Linked DNA regions of Schizosaccharomyces pombe. The gene in region 1 interacts genetically with each later gene. Each region holds a gene or a part of one and is shown in the gene's direction. Other genes may lie near its edges. The genes, in order: gyp1, hen1 and hob3.

What was found.
Region 2: mutations in gyp1 (region 1) and hen1 together harm fitness less than expected from each alone (positive genetic interaction), as found in Schizosaccharomyces pombe (one large-scale study listed by BioGRID).
Region 3: mutations in gyp1 (region 1) and hob3 impair growth when combined (synthetic growth defect), as found in Schizosaccharomyces pombe (one large-scale study listed by BioGRID).

The regions. Positions count from the first base shown.
Region 1 is NC_003423.3:782,577-787,710, forward strand, and holds gyp1 (GTPase-activating protein Gyp1), read left to right. Parts: upstream 1-1,989; 5' UTR 1,990-2,536; coding exon 2,537-4,081; 3' UTR 4,082-4,569; downstream 4,570-5,134. Other genes in the region: SPOM_SPBC530.02 (transporter), read left to right, coding at 5,102-5,134. UniProt on the Schizosaccharomyces pombe protein: Stimulates specifically the GTPase activity of ypt1. Functions on the Golgi as a negative regulator of ypt1.
Region 2 is NC_003423.3:2,744,976-2,750,457, reverse strand, and holds hen1 (S-adenosylmethionine-dependent methyltransferase), read left to right. Parts: upstream 1-2,130; coding exon 2,131-3,267; 3' UTR 3,268-3,302; downstream 3,303-5,482. Other genes in the region: ribonuclease H Rnh1, read left to right, coding at 689-756, 941-1,667; DNA polymerase delta catalytic subunit Cdc6, read right to left, coding at 3,303-5,482.
Region 3 is NC_003423.3:1,221,201-1,225,299, reverse strand, and holds hob3 (BAR adaptor protein Hob3), read left to right. Parts: upstream 1-2,094; 5' UTR 2,095-2,103; coding exon 2,104-2,151; exon of another isoform or gene 2,152-2,193; coding exon 2,194-2,940; 3' UTR 2,941-3,556; downstream 3,557-4,099. Other genes in the region: tsp0 (tspO-like protein), read right to left, coding at 1-326; pir2 (C2H2-type zinc finger domain-containing protein), read right to left, coding at 3,785-4,099. UniProt on the Schizosaccharomyces pombe protein: Involved in cytokinesis and septation where it has a role in the localization of F-actin.

The DNA.
Region 1 (5,134 bases):
GGCATAACAAGAGCAACAAATTGAACTTATTTGTTTTCCTTTGTTAATAACTCTATTTTAACGATGTATAGGATTCGTTCTGACAGCTTCATTTTTATTCCAGCAAAGCGAAGCAAAACGGATCATTCGCTTCGTGCCAAAACAATGTTGTTTTATGGATTAAAAGATGATCTTCTTAAAGCAGCCATGGCTAAGCATTCATAATACGTGATAGATCATGTTATAGACTTCATCTTTGTAGATCATATAAATGCTTAAGTGTTGAGTCAATGACACATAGACTGTACTTGTCTATTTAATTTGTCTAACGTATTACATTCATAAAAAGCGCGTAAACGTGTTGAGTCTTATAGAAGTTGTTATGACTAGCAATTCAAGAACAAGTCTGATTCATAACATTATTTAACATTTCTTTATTCCATTTCATTTTATTCTTTCTCTATGTTAAAATTCTTGACTTTGCAATATAAACAGACAAATATGCACCAAGTAGCTTGTACAAATAGCTCCTAAACGATCTTTGAATGCATGAAGATAATATTCTATATACCAAGGATTTGAATACTTCACGATCTTACTGTATGAATATATAAACAATAAATAGAAAATTTCTAGTGAATCGACAGTACTCTGACTGATTATTAATTTTTTCTTTAAAATGTTTAAATATTCTACTTTAAACGTCTACGGCCATACCTAGGCGAAAACACCAGTTCCCGTCCGATCACTGCAGTTAAGCGTCTGAGGGCCTCGTTAGTACTATGGTTGGAGACAACATGGGAATCCGGGGTGCTGTAGGCTTCCTTTTATTCTTTTTGCTTTTTGTTTGAGCTCATTTGGGAATAATAATCATTTACCTTGATTCGTACTTATTCATTTCAATACCTTTGCACATAATATTATTGTGTACTATGAATGATATTTTGGCAACCAGGAAATCTTCTTACAAGTCGTAATACGACTTAAAGGGAAGATGTATGGTTTATTTTATTGTCATACAGTAACCTTTATTATTGGATTGGAGTTGTAGTTTCGATTTCATCACAATGAATAACGATACTCTAGAGTGTTTTCCAAGATGTAAACGAGAGAAGGAAAGTGTTTTTTGGATGATTATTAAACTTACTATAATTTTTGATTGTTCTCAATATAAAATTTATCTTAGTACATATTTATTTTGTTCTCATGTCAGTTTTGGAGAACATACATTACAATTTCTTGACAAGACAACATTTGGAAAATTGCTCTGTTCATTAAAACATTGAAAACCGTATATGTTTTTTAAATCATTCCTCTTCAATGCATTTGTTGAAGTAATTTTACTGAATCAAAGATATAAATACATGTTTGAAAACAAATACCCGAAACTGCTAAAAAAAAGACTGGGATTGAAAGTTAGACTAGATTCGTTGATCATCTACTTGAAAAATGTGTTTTGTTAGAAATATATAGGAACAGGAAAATCTTAGACTGTATTTCAGGAAAATTTAAACTTAGTAGGTATTAAAATGCTTATAATTCATCGTATTATATTAGGTAACTAGGATGTCAATACGAAAAATAACAATAAAATCAGAGATTCATTATTGACAGGAAATACTTTTTTACGTTTCTTAATCAACGTTTATACTTTTCTCTTTTTTGTTTTGAAAAGCGACTAGTCACAATTGTCAAAATTACATTGTTCACTTTTACTGGCAGCAACTTAAGTAAAGAAGAGATAGAACTCATAGATATAAACATTGTTAAATGAGACCTAGCTGTGTATCTTTTACTACTCTGCGCATATAAACCCAACATTCCCAAGCAATAAGACCATGCACGGCCAAAATCCTTCTATCAACTGTTCATGGCTTAAAACGAATTTCCTTTAACTAAAAAGTGAGATAAATAATTAAAGTATTAAACCTTGCTCCTTTTATTAAAAAAACCTCATATATAAGAAACTCCATACACCTACTGTTTTCCTCCCTATTGTTTTGTTCTTCCACCAAATAAGGGCAACTGCCTTGGCAACTGCACAGACCGAGTAAATCTTCACAATTTCGTTGATATTCGGTTAAAATTTGTAAATATACTAGTGTATTGGATTGTATCTAAGGTTTTCTCGAAACATTTGTTCGTGTTCAAATTCCGCGCTGTTCTAATAGATCACAAGATCTCGAGCTGGTGCGTTTTCGTTTGGATGGAACCCACAGACACGGCTTTGCTTCTAATAGCTTAAGTTTTTTTTTTTTGAAAATAGTTTTCATTTGATAAGAAAAGAATAAGACTTCAAGTCCGGTAAGTCTATGAGTGGTGCCTAAGATCCTTCGTCGTTAAACATTTGAAGTTATTGCCTTCTAAAACGTTTCATCTACTTTTTACAGCAAATTTTGAAACTGTTTTTTGCATCTTAACCAAAAGTATTTTATTTTGGCGATAAATTCAAAGAGTATCTGTTATTTGCTAAATTTGTTGTGTCCATCAAGGCTATCAAATTACTGCTTCATTTTGTAAAAACAATTTTTCTTCTCGTATTTTAAGATTTTCCACTATGGAATCTCAGTCAAAAAAGTCGTCCGCCTTAAAAACTCTCTCCAGCTTATGGAATGGATCCTCTAGCGCCACTTCGGATCCAGTTACTGTTTTGGATCGAAGCCGGACCCATCACCATCGTGGTCGAAGCACTTCTTCCAAAGCTCAACCGTTCAGATTGGACGACTCTGTTTACTCAGATCAACCCCCAAAAGATCATATCTCTTTGGCCCGGTCCATAACTAGACCCGAATCTGCTAGTGAGTCTAAAATCTATGCACCTTCTGCGAGATCTTCTCTTTCCTTGGAAGCTGTTGTAGGCAAAAAAGTGTCTGCAAAGTTTGCCAAATATTTGTCACAGACAGATGACGATTGGGGAGTTTCGAATATTAAAGCCTCAAAATCTCTTCCTCGTATGGCTCGAAGTACTACTCCAAATTCTTCAAGCCGCTCCTTATTTCCTCAAAATGGCGTGGATACTACCACTTCTAGACAAAAGCTTCATTCGTCTGGTCGTTTTCCTTTACCCGCTAAACTAGCCCATCGTTCTGTAGAAGTTGAGGTTGCTGAAAGCAATGCGCTTGTCTCTCGGATCAAGAAGTTTTCGCGAATTCTTGATGCTCCAATTGTGGATTTAAATGCGCTTCGTACATTGGCTTGGAATGGAATTCCCTCCGAACATAGACCTATTGTCTGGAAATACTTGTTAGGATATTTACCTTGTAATGCTTCTCGTCGTGAAGTCACTTTAAAGCGAAAGAGAGACGAATATAACGCAGCAAAAGATTCCTGCTTTAATACAAATACAGAGCCACCACCTTTGGATCAAACTATTTGGCGACAAATTGTCCTTGACGTTCCGAGGACGAACCCCTCTATTCTTCTTTACCAAAACCCATTGACGCAGCGTATGCTTGAGCGTATTTTATATGTTTGGGCCTCACGGCACCCAGCCAGCGGATATGTACAAGGCATCAGCGATTTAGTTACTCCTTTTATTCAGGTGTTTTTGTCCGAATATATCGGCGATAAGGACCCAATGACATATGACATTGCTCTTCTTGATGAAACTAATCGTAATGATATTGAGGCTGATGCTTACTGGTGTCTTTCTAAATTGTTAGATGGTATCCAAGATAACTATATACATGCACAGCCTGGAATCCGTCGACAGGTGAATAATCTGCGAGAGCTTACTTTACGTATAGATGAGCCATTAGTAAAACATCTTCAAATGGAGGGTGTTGATTTCCTTCAGTTTAGTTTTCGCTGGATGAACTGTCTTTTAATGCGCGAGCTTAGTATTTCGAATATCATTCGGATGTGGGATACATACATGGCGGAAGGTGTCCAAGGATTTTCTGAGTTTCACCTCTACGTATGTGCTGCATTTTTAGTGAAATGGTCGAGTGAATTACAAAAGATGGAATTTCAGGATATATTAATTTTTCTGCAGTCTATTCCGACAAAAGATTGGAGCACAAAGGATATCGAAATTTTACTATCTGAAGCTTTCCTATGGAAATCATTGTACAGTGGAGCTGGTGCACATTTGAAAAGGTAAGGCATAGTAGCCATTTCGTTTTCCCTTTTCAGAGCATTCGTCTTCTTCCTTAATCCCTTGCTTATTTTGGCATAGCAGCCTTTTTCAAATGCCATCCTTCCTATGCATTTTTATAATTAGGTTGACAAATCTCCTTCGTTAATTCATTGTGTTGCTTTTCTATGTTTATGAGCTTATGAGTCTAAGTCTTACTTCTTCTAATAAATTTTCCTTTCATTCACCTAAATAACTTTTCAAGTTTGCTCCTTAACTCAGCTGGATTGAGTTTGCGACTTTTAGAATTTATCATGCAGGATAAAGTATTTCTCTTGAAGAAAGTCTGAACTACCTTAATCATTTTTGGGAAGTTATTAACCCTTGAATTAAATTGTATATTCACTATTACTTATATGTAATTTGTCTTTACTCTTACGTTCGACCGTTCTCTAACCCTTTTCCAGTTTGACTTACGTTACTACTTTACTATTCAACGATTGTTTAGTCCATGGCGTGATACTTTACATGAATCGTTATTAATATCATTTTTTTTTCTCTTCTATGCTAGTCATGTTTTCTTTGGTTTTATCCAAGATTGTACATTACGATTTCAAAGTACGACTTTTGTATTGGTAAGAGATGATGAAAATCGACAAGACTGTACTACATGGTCTGTGTCTTCTTCCTTGATTCGACCAAAATGTATGGATGAATTAGAGTAGATAATGAAAACGCTGTGACAATTTTTGAATATTTATACAACTTAATACAGTTTTTGAACTGAAATAAAGAAGCACGTTCCATTGCGTTATAGAATCATTGTATTACTTTTCATGAAGAAGAAATCATTTATTTATAACTATAGGATCAATTTCTTATCTTTTAAATTTCAATACTCATAGCTTTTTCATGCTGATTTTGCAACTGCTTACCACAACAGCATTTGCAGTGACTGTTTTTCAAACTATATTTACTATATAAGGGAGACTTTGCCTATTACCTCTACGTCTGGCTTAGGAGCGCAAATTAAGCGATAAGAAAGAAATGGATCTGTATCTTTTAGCAAGCGGCAGAAAG
Region 2 (5,482 bases), 2.0 Mb from region 1:
AAGGGCACATGGTGGAATAGTTTACAAATTTTCTGCTACGCGCGGCAATACCCACTGCAAAAGCATAATCTTTTCTCTGACTAAAAGATTCTTTTTAGAATAACAATTGCGCAATTTGCAAACTACTCAGAGGCCAACAGAGATGAGGATTCTTTATGAAAGTATAATCTTAAAAAGGTAAAATGACTTAAACAATTATTACTAAACAAACAATACATTTTTCTGCTTGTTTGAAATTAGACTACATTAAATGAGCTAAGGACATAAAATGAGTATTCTATATTTAAGGAGCTTTTAACTAATAAAATATACTATCAATTGTGTATTAATTTTAATGTCAGGCGGTATAACAGTCGCGGAGATCTAACTAGCTTACCGTAATATAGTGTGCAGAGATTATGCAGCTAGTAAATAAGCAAACCCGTTTTATTATGTATCGTACTGCAGTAGTCCAGATATGTGACATTTCCTGATGCTCTACCATTATTAATCGTCAATTGAACTCTTTTACAAATTAATATAAATTTATAAATCCAAATCCTTCTTTTTTCTGCACTATTTTCAATAACTCATAAGACTACAGCTCAATTTGTCAACTACAAGTATTTTTGCAAAGTTTTGGGAAAAACTCCCAAGTTTTACTAAGTTTTACTATTTTAAAGCTATTTTTGAATCTTCGCATTACGAAATGGGTGGAAATAAGCGTGCATACTATGCAGTAGCGCGTGGTCGAAATACTGGTATATATAGTACATGGTAAGACTGCGTATCTCAAGAAAATGGTTTCGTTGTTAAATATAAGTTTCACGTTAAGCAAGTTTCGATACGGTCGTATGCTTTGCTTCAATTCAATCTGAATCGGTTTTTTCAAGATGATCTCTTATTAACATTTCCTTGATGGATACACCTTGTTGTTTAACAAACTCTTACTAATTTTTAGGGATGAGGCGTCGGATCAGGTGAAAGGTTATGGAGGTAATCGCTACAAGAAATTTGACAGCTATGAGGCTGCTCAGGAATTTTGCAGGACCGAAGGAAGTCGCTACTCCTCGTCTTCTGGCCCATATCGCCGCAGTACAACAAGTTATGGGTACTCTCCATATTCTTCTAGTTCCTCAAATTACTCTGCTAGACACTCCGATAAATATAGAAAGAAAATTTCTAGAAGTTATAGTACCGAAAAAGATATTGAAATATTTTCGAATGACACTCATGAAAAATCAATTGCGTGCTCGGATCGACAGGTCGTCTATGCTGACGGTTCTAGTTTGCGAAATGGGAAAAAAGGAGCTGTTGCTGGCTGTGGAGTTTTTTTCGGAAATGATGACCCAAGAAATATTTCAGTACCGTTGGCTGGGGAAGAGCAAACCAACAATCGTGCGGAATTGCAAGCCATAATCCTAGCCCTTGAAAATACATCTGGCGATTTGACCATCCGCTCTGACAGCAATTATTCCATTAAGTCACTAACCACATGGCTGCCTAAATGGAAGAAAAATGACTTTAAGACTAGCAATTCACAACCTGTAAAAAATTTGGATTTGATCAACCGCGCTTCAGATTTGATGAGTGACAGAAATGTTTCGCTAGAGTACGTGAAAGGACACAGTACCGATTACGGTAATCAACAAGCCGATATGCTTGCTCGGCGAGGAGCTTCTGAGTAAATGGTCATCTATGATGAGCGCTGTAAAAAATGGATATAGGTACATTCTTTTGAAATTTGCCGTATAATTTTCGTCTACTCTTCGCTGGTTGTATGTGCTTTTTTTGTTCTCGTTTTGCATAATGCTACATATTTTATTGTAATTAAATATCATGCTATTATAACAATTTTAAAGAGGAAATTGAAAAGTATAGATTCGGAGCTAAGATAATTTTATTATTTAACGTTGAAAATGACACTTCGCACTAGTCAACAATTCCCTTTTCAATTAAATTTGGTTCGGTGTCTTAACGGCAGTCATCGAAATCATATTGCAATGGACTTAGCAAAGAATTAATAACAATTCGCTTCGTAATGAATTTGAAAAGGCTTAAATAGTGGTTTTGAAACGAACATTCACAGTTAATAGGTAGTTATTTGACTAACGTGAAGAAAGTGTACCAAAAATACTTTGAGTTTAGACAATGGGTGTCTCTAGCTTTTACCCACCTTTGCATGTACAGCGTCGAAGGAAATTATTTAAAATACTTCAAGGAGGCTTCCCTGTGCGATCTTTGTTAGACATTGGATGTGGAGATGCTCGTTTTCTATCATATTTAGTACCTTGCAATGATCAAGTGCCTATAGAATTTCTGGCCGGTATTGATATTAACGAACAAAGTATTGAAAGAGCTACTGAGGCTTTACAGGTTAGAACCGAAGACTTTTTACAACTACGTTGGCGACCGCTACATATTGAATTATTGCTTGGTAATATTAAAGATTTTACTCATTATAAACATGTTGATGCGGTTGTAGCTTCAGAGTTTATTGAGCATTGTCAAGTTGCAGAGATTTTAGCCTTTGAAAAACTTGTTTTTGGAAACTTGAAGCCCAATGTTTGCGTAGTGTCAACTCCGAATTTTGAATTTAACACAATCTTTGAGAAACTATCAACCTTGACAAGTAGTATATCATCTCGTACTTCTACCAATTTTAGACATCCTGAACACGTTTTTGAATGGGATCGAAAAGAGTTTGCTAAATGGGCTTATAAAATTTGTAAAAGATACCCAGAGTATACTGTTGAATTTACGGGCTGTGGTTTGCTAAATGATCTAATAGATGGTGACGATTTGTTACATTTTCGCCCATCATCTACTTACGGTTTCTGCACCCAAATCGCAGTATTTCATCAATCTAAAAACAATGCTGCTTCTCATTGCTTCTTAAAAGACCAAAATTCAAGCATCCTTCTTTACAAAAAGATTACATACCCATTTATGGAGCAACTATTTCCTCCAACAGTGCAGCAATTTATGAATCTTCTGAAAAAAGCATTTTTTGATCATTTATTTGGACGTCACTGTTTACTTTTATTCCAGGTTATTGCTGGCAAGTGTGCTTTGTCAGTAAAATTACCTTTCTTGTTTATCTGGGAGTCTTCGCCTCTCATTCGACATGCCTTCCATTATGATGATTCAATTTACTTATCATATTGTCCTGAATTAAAAAAAAGCAAACATAAAGGTATAGCTTTGGCAAACTCGTTTAGTTTTCGCATTGCAAAAGTACTTAAGAAAAGTAGAATTTTTATTATAACTTTTCATCATTACGTTTGATATACACATTTAGTAATTAAAAACATCCATCTTTTTCACCAGGACATTTCATCAAATCTTTTCAGTAAGTCAACAGATTGCTGAAGTTTCTTGTGTTCTGCAATTCGCATATAAAATATGGGGCAGTCTCTACTGGTACAAATGACGTCTTGATGCATACTTCCTTGGCATCGCTGACATTGAGTCCATAAGCGAGCAAAACGAACTTCTAAATCATTCACTTGAGCAACCTGACGTTGATACAGTTCCGCCGATCTATTTAGACAATTCTCACATAAAGCAGTTTTACCTTTTTTTATGGGAGCTTTGCATCCAAGACAGGTCTCAACCTTTACTGCGAATTTCATTATTCCTCCAACACTGGGGGCTGCCATGGAAATCGTCCGAGTATGGTCACCATGAAGTAAAGAGCTAGCTTTTTCACCAAGAATAGGCTCAAAAATTCTAAGCAAAGGTTTGGAGAGTTGATTTTCCAAATAATATTTTGCATCAATAGGAATGTTATTTTCCAATACATATATAGGGTCCTCCGACCTCATATAAAATTGATCACCTTGTGCACCTTTAATAATAACGTATGCAACGCGATCTCCTATGGCTGGGGCGGAGCCAGCATCTCGTTTACGCATTCGCTCAGCCAATTCAACGTGTGCCATTTTGGCAGCATAATCAGTTTTTGATAATGCCTTTGTGATTACAAGTTGTGACATATCAATTTTGTTTTGTAACAAATCGGAAATAACTTTTTTTGTAAACAACTGTGCACCCTCTACATCCTGATCAATTAACATTTTTCTCAAAGCTGTGTCAATCACATAAGATACTAGAGGACAGTTATCTCTTCTGACAGTTTCTATTCCTTTAGAGTCCATTTTATCATAAGTATCTGTACGAGTCCAAAATAATCCTGCATAACGTTTTTTGGAAATTAAAAGATATGGAAAGTACACTTTCTCAAACTCCAGTTTAATAGGATTCGGAAACTGGTCTGAAACATAATTAGCTGCTTCCTCTCCTAATTTCATGGCTTCAGGTAACGTTTTAACGCCAAACTTAACCATAACAGAATCAGTGTCACCATAGATTACAACTGCATCGTGAGAGTATCCATTCTCAATTCTGTATCTCTTTTCTACAACATCCTTGGTTTTTTCAATCATTTGTCGACCATAAGAGGTAACAGAAGAAGAAATTGCTAAACACGGCAAACGTCCGTTGGTAGCACCAGTAAATCCATATACTGAATTAGCACTTACTTTTAAAGCTAGCTGTCTACCATCCAAAACAGCCTTTTTGAATGGGTCCGTTTCCTTTTTTAGATCTGCTTTTGCTTTCTTACGTGCATTAAGTAAATCAGCTAAGATAATAGGGAGTAGTCCTTTACGAACATGTGGTTTAACGAAATAATCTCCGTTCGGAGTCACTGAGTAGTCAACATCTTGCTTAAGTTTTAATAATTCTGCAGTATTTGAGTCAAGTAATGTCGTATAGCATAAATTATGGGCTTGCATAATCGAAGGATAAAGTGAACTAAAATCCAGTGTTGCAATAGGGGTATCATAGTATCCTTTAATCGGTTCAATGACTGTAGCACCTTCATATTGCTCATCTGTTCCATTTACACGTATATTTGGAACAACTAGGTCATGTTGAAGAGCTTTGCGAAACAATTGAGAAATAACTTTAATCTGTTGGCCTCTAGCAAGAAGAAAATTAAACGGTACACCTGTTACTCTTGCCATTTCAGTATAGTTAACAAAACACATTAATTTGTCCATTAAGCGTTGGGGTAAATATGCATCTTTCAGACAATAAATAGCTAAACGTCTTCTAGAATCGGCAGTGCCATTTTGCAAGTCAGTGATGATAGAATAGTGTACATCTTCTTTTTGCTCGCCTAGAAACTGAGAGCAGACTGCATTTAAAGAGTAAGATCGAAGCTTAAAATCACGCTGCATTACTTGTAACATATCAAGCTGCAAACGCCCAGGAATACTAGTGGTTTTGCTTTCACGAGTACCATATGCTTTACTTGAAAACGTGGTTTCCTTTGCGACAGAAAAAAAATTATGAATACGGCCAAGTAATGGGAAATTGTGAATGCGTAAGCTTTTTGCTCGATCCAAGAGGTAAGGGATATCAAAGTTGCAGATGTTGTACCCAATTAAAACATCTGGGTCAACATCACGAACAAATTTTGACCAACTTGAAAGCA
Region 3 (4,099 bases), 440 kb from region 1:
GCTAATCCGTAGAACAAGGGCATCCAAGCAAAGTTAGCGGCCAACTGTGCAATGTATAAAATGGATCCATTTCGAGAGGCATTCGTAATCATCAAAGGGTCAGCCTTGTACGCCAAATGGGATGCATATCCCATTGTTAGGTATAGTAGTGTCCATGCTGGTCCAAAGGCAGATGCAGGGGGGTGGAACTTTGGTTGCTTTTTGTTCTCATAATCCTTTCTTGGCTTGTAGGAATTCCCAATGAACCAGCCGCAGGCGACTGGAACGAGAGAAGCGGACCACCAATTTTTGGAGATGCTAGTGAATACTTGATAGTTCAAATCCATCACACTTAATAATATCGTTTACTGTTGATTAGCGAAATCGGGAAAAAAAAATTCCACGAATGTAAAGAGTACTAACAACGACTGCTACTAAAAAACCATAAGTATTTCGAATCTTAATGCAGCTCGTTTACAAACAGCAGAGATAATGTCGAGATACAAAAGGTCTTTCAAACCATGCTAAGCAAATAGACATGGAGTAGCTAGAGTTAAGTTTGATAATTAAAACTGACATACATTAAACTAGAAATTTGGAGAAGAGTTGTTGAAACTTCTAATTGAATTGAAGATTAGTAAAATTGGACCATAAAGCTTAACCATCTTTCAATCTTCCATACATTTTAAAAACGGGCACAGTATCGATATGAGAGAAATACGATACTAAACTAAAATAAAAGGAAATACTTAATTGTAGTTTGATCTTGGAAGCTACTCGAATGTATAATTCACCATATTTATAACCTCGTCTATTACGTCACAGAAGGGAAGGAGGAGCGAGGTATTGGGGTATAATACGTGTTCATACTGCGTAAGGTGGTGGTAGATGTGTCTCGCTAAAAAGTGTTTATAAGGAGTTTTCCATAAGATAATATTTTCAGTACAACTAAATTTTTTATATTATTAATATTATATTATAAAATTATGTATATCTATTAGTAGCAGCGCTTGTTTTCTGTAATAGAATATATTTGGGCTGGTCAAATGCGGTTAATTATCATCACACAGATGAGATTTATGGGCAAATTTAGTTATAAAATTAGATAAGACAACAAAGAGAGAAGAAAGGTTTATTTCGGTGCTTTTGTTTCTTACTTTCAGAAGAATCTTTCTCTTGGGCATTATCTGGATGTCTTACTGCCCACAGAACAAACAAACTGTCATTGAATGGCTGAGTTCTTGTTTCAATATCTAATATCGCTATACAATAGCTCTCAAAGTAATGCACCACTACTACAACTTAAGTTCTTCACTTTTTGAGTAAGGATGCAAACTATGAGACCGGGTTTTTTTAGCTCAAATGTCGCTGAAAAGCGTTTTCTTTATAGTTTTATCATGAATGATCTCATATATTGATAAGTAGCAATCGTGTCTTTCCATGTCGAAGCCTCAAAACATTATATCCATATAATGCAAAACCATTTATTCCACCACTTCTAATGAAATTTATAAGTTGGTAAAATGTCCGTATTTCAAATTGCTTCTCCACAATATCTTCCATTTATGAGCAAACGATATTACCTCTATATTGTCAAGTTAAAATGTTTACATTGATATATTATATTAAACTATAACATAACTATATTACCTTATAAGGCGATTTCTGCTGGATGCAGTTAGTGAACAAGAATTATCTGAGGATAGACCTCTAATTGCAGTCAGAGATTTACTACAGATGATTATACAAGAAAAATTTAGATATATTTTTTAAGCGATGTAATTTATTGATAGTGACATGAAAGTAAGCCAACCCTCGAAACCCAAATTTACCACCATTATGCTCTTGCTCTATCAATTAAACACAAAATTAACGACACGCTTTTCATCCTTATCTTTTTATAATTGCATTGTGAAATAAACTATCATTATTCTATTTAACGCAATGATAAACTTCGCAATCAGGCTTTACGTTATGGCTTTGCTTCCGTGAATTGTTCCCTACGCGAATCCTGCTGAATCCACTAAAAGATCCAATGCAGCTTAGCTAGCGAACATTAGCGCAGCGATCAACTGACATAAGATATCTGGGTATGCCGACGCTTCTCTTTTCCATATCACAAAAATGAGTTGGCATGGATTCAAAAAGGCCGTTAACCGAGCGGGTACCTCGGTATGTATTTGAGTGTTGAAGAATTGTCTAACATTGTGGTAGGTTATGATGAAGACGGGTCATGTTGAGCGAACGGTGGATCGGGAATTTGAAACAGAGGAAAGACGTTATAGAACTATGGAATCAGCTGCAAAGAAGCTTCAAAAAGAAGCCAAAGGTTATCTCGATGCTTTGAGAGCCATGACTGCGTCTCAAACTAGAATCGCTAACACAATCGATGCATTTTACGGTGATGCTGGATCGAAGGATGGTGTCAGTGCATACTATCGACAAGTCGTCGAAGACTTGGACGCCGATACCGTAAAAGAGTTGGACGGTCCTTTCCGGACAACGGTGTTGGATCCCATCTCAAGGTTCTGCAGTTACTTTCCCGATATTAATGCCGCTATCACGAAGCGTAATCACAAATTACTTGATCATGATGCTATGAGGGCTAAGGTTCAAAAACTGGTCGACAAGCCTTCCAACGACACTACTAAGCTTCCCCGTACCGAGAAAGAAGCAGCCATGGCGAAGGAGGTCTACGAGACACTCAATAATCAACTGGTCAGTGAGCTTCCGCAACTAATTGCTCTTCGTGTGCCTTATTTGGACCCTAGCTTTGAAGCCCTTGTCAAAATTCAGCTCCGCTTTTGTAGGGAGGGATATGAGAAAATGGCTCAAGTTCAGCAATACTTTGACAACTCTGTACGCGAAGACTATTCCAATGGTTTGTTGGATGATAAAGTTGAACAAGTTTTACAGAGTATGCGGGATCTTTCCATCGCCGGTTTGAACAACAGTCAGTAGACATCGGTTTTTTAAACACGATTGTATGTGTGCATAGCGCTATCACTCTGTTTTCTCTTTCCTTTTCTCCTCCGAAATAATTGTTACTACACGTAACCATGATCTCTTATCCCTCAATACTTTTTGTTTAACATATCCTTTCTCTTTTACTACTTTATTACCATCTTATCTTGTTTATCTGAAGTGGTTCACGGAATGTTTTCAATTTATTCAATTTTTTGTGATACATAAATATTTTCCATACTTATCTATCCTCGAGTATTTTCTATTGGTGTTACTGGAATTGAAGGGAAAGCCAGCACATATTTATTAAAGACTCAACTGTGAAGCTTCTACATCCTTTCAGTTTCGTAACGTTTCCTTTATAATTTTTTAATTGGGAATAGTTATCAAATTATCAGATAAACAAATTGGTTTTCCAATATTGTCTGTCGACCCAGCGATTCATCTACTAAACTGTGCTTATTTTCTATCTCGTACCAAGTTTTGTTCTAATAAATAACTATTGTTAAGTAAGTTTAGACCAAATCTTAAAATATAATAATTAGAAAAAAAAATGCTTTTGTTGACTTACGAATTATTAATTTGAATTGTAATTTATTAATTTTCCAAACAATAGCTATCTTGTAAGCTGTAAGTCAAGTTGGAAGTGGGTTTATTTCTATCTGTGCAGCGTTCGATGTTTGATTTTCGAACATGGACTTAAGCGTTCAATTTTACAATAGCTGTGAATGTAGATTATCGCTACTTTAAAATCTAAAATATAGTATGGAGCTACAACTGCTAGTAACGTCTATACAGGAAATGATATTAACCAAAAATCTTTCTGACTAAGAACATAAATTTAGTAATCTAATTCTGGAACCTCCTGGTTAGGCGCATCCAAATCTTGATAAGTTCTATAGAATTCCCGTCTGTGGATCATGGGTTCTTGCCTCGAATAAGATTTTTGTGATGATGCTCCAGAAGTTATCTCCTCGTCATTTCGTCGACTATAGCTTGTTGTTGGAAATGTATAGTTTGCGTTAATATTTCTGAAACCAACGTAGGGCTTGTTTAAAATCTGTAAGGATACATACGACGTGCTTACCACTTTGGGATCCATAGCCCTACATGGGTCAAGCACATATCCATAGAGACATATAGCCACCTTTTTAAT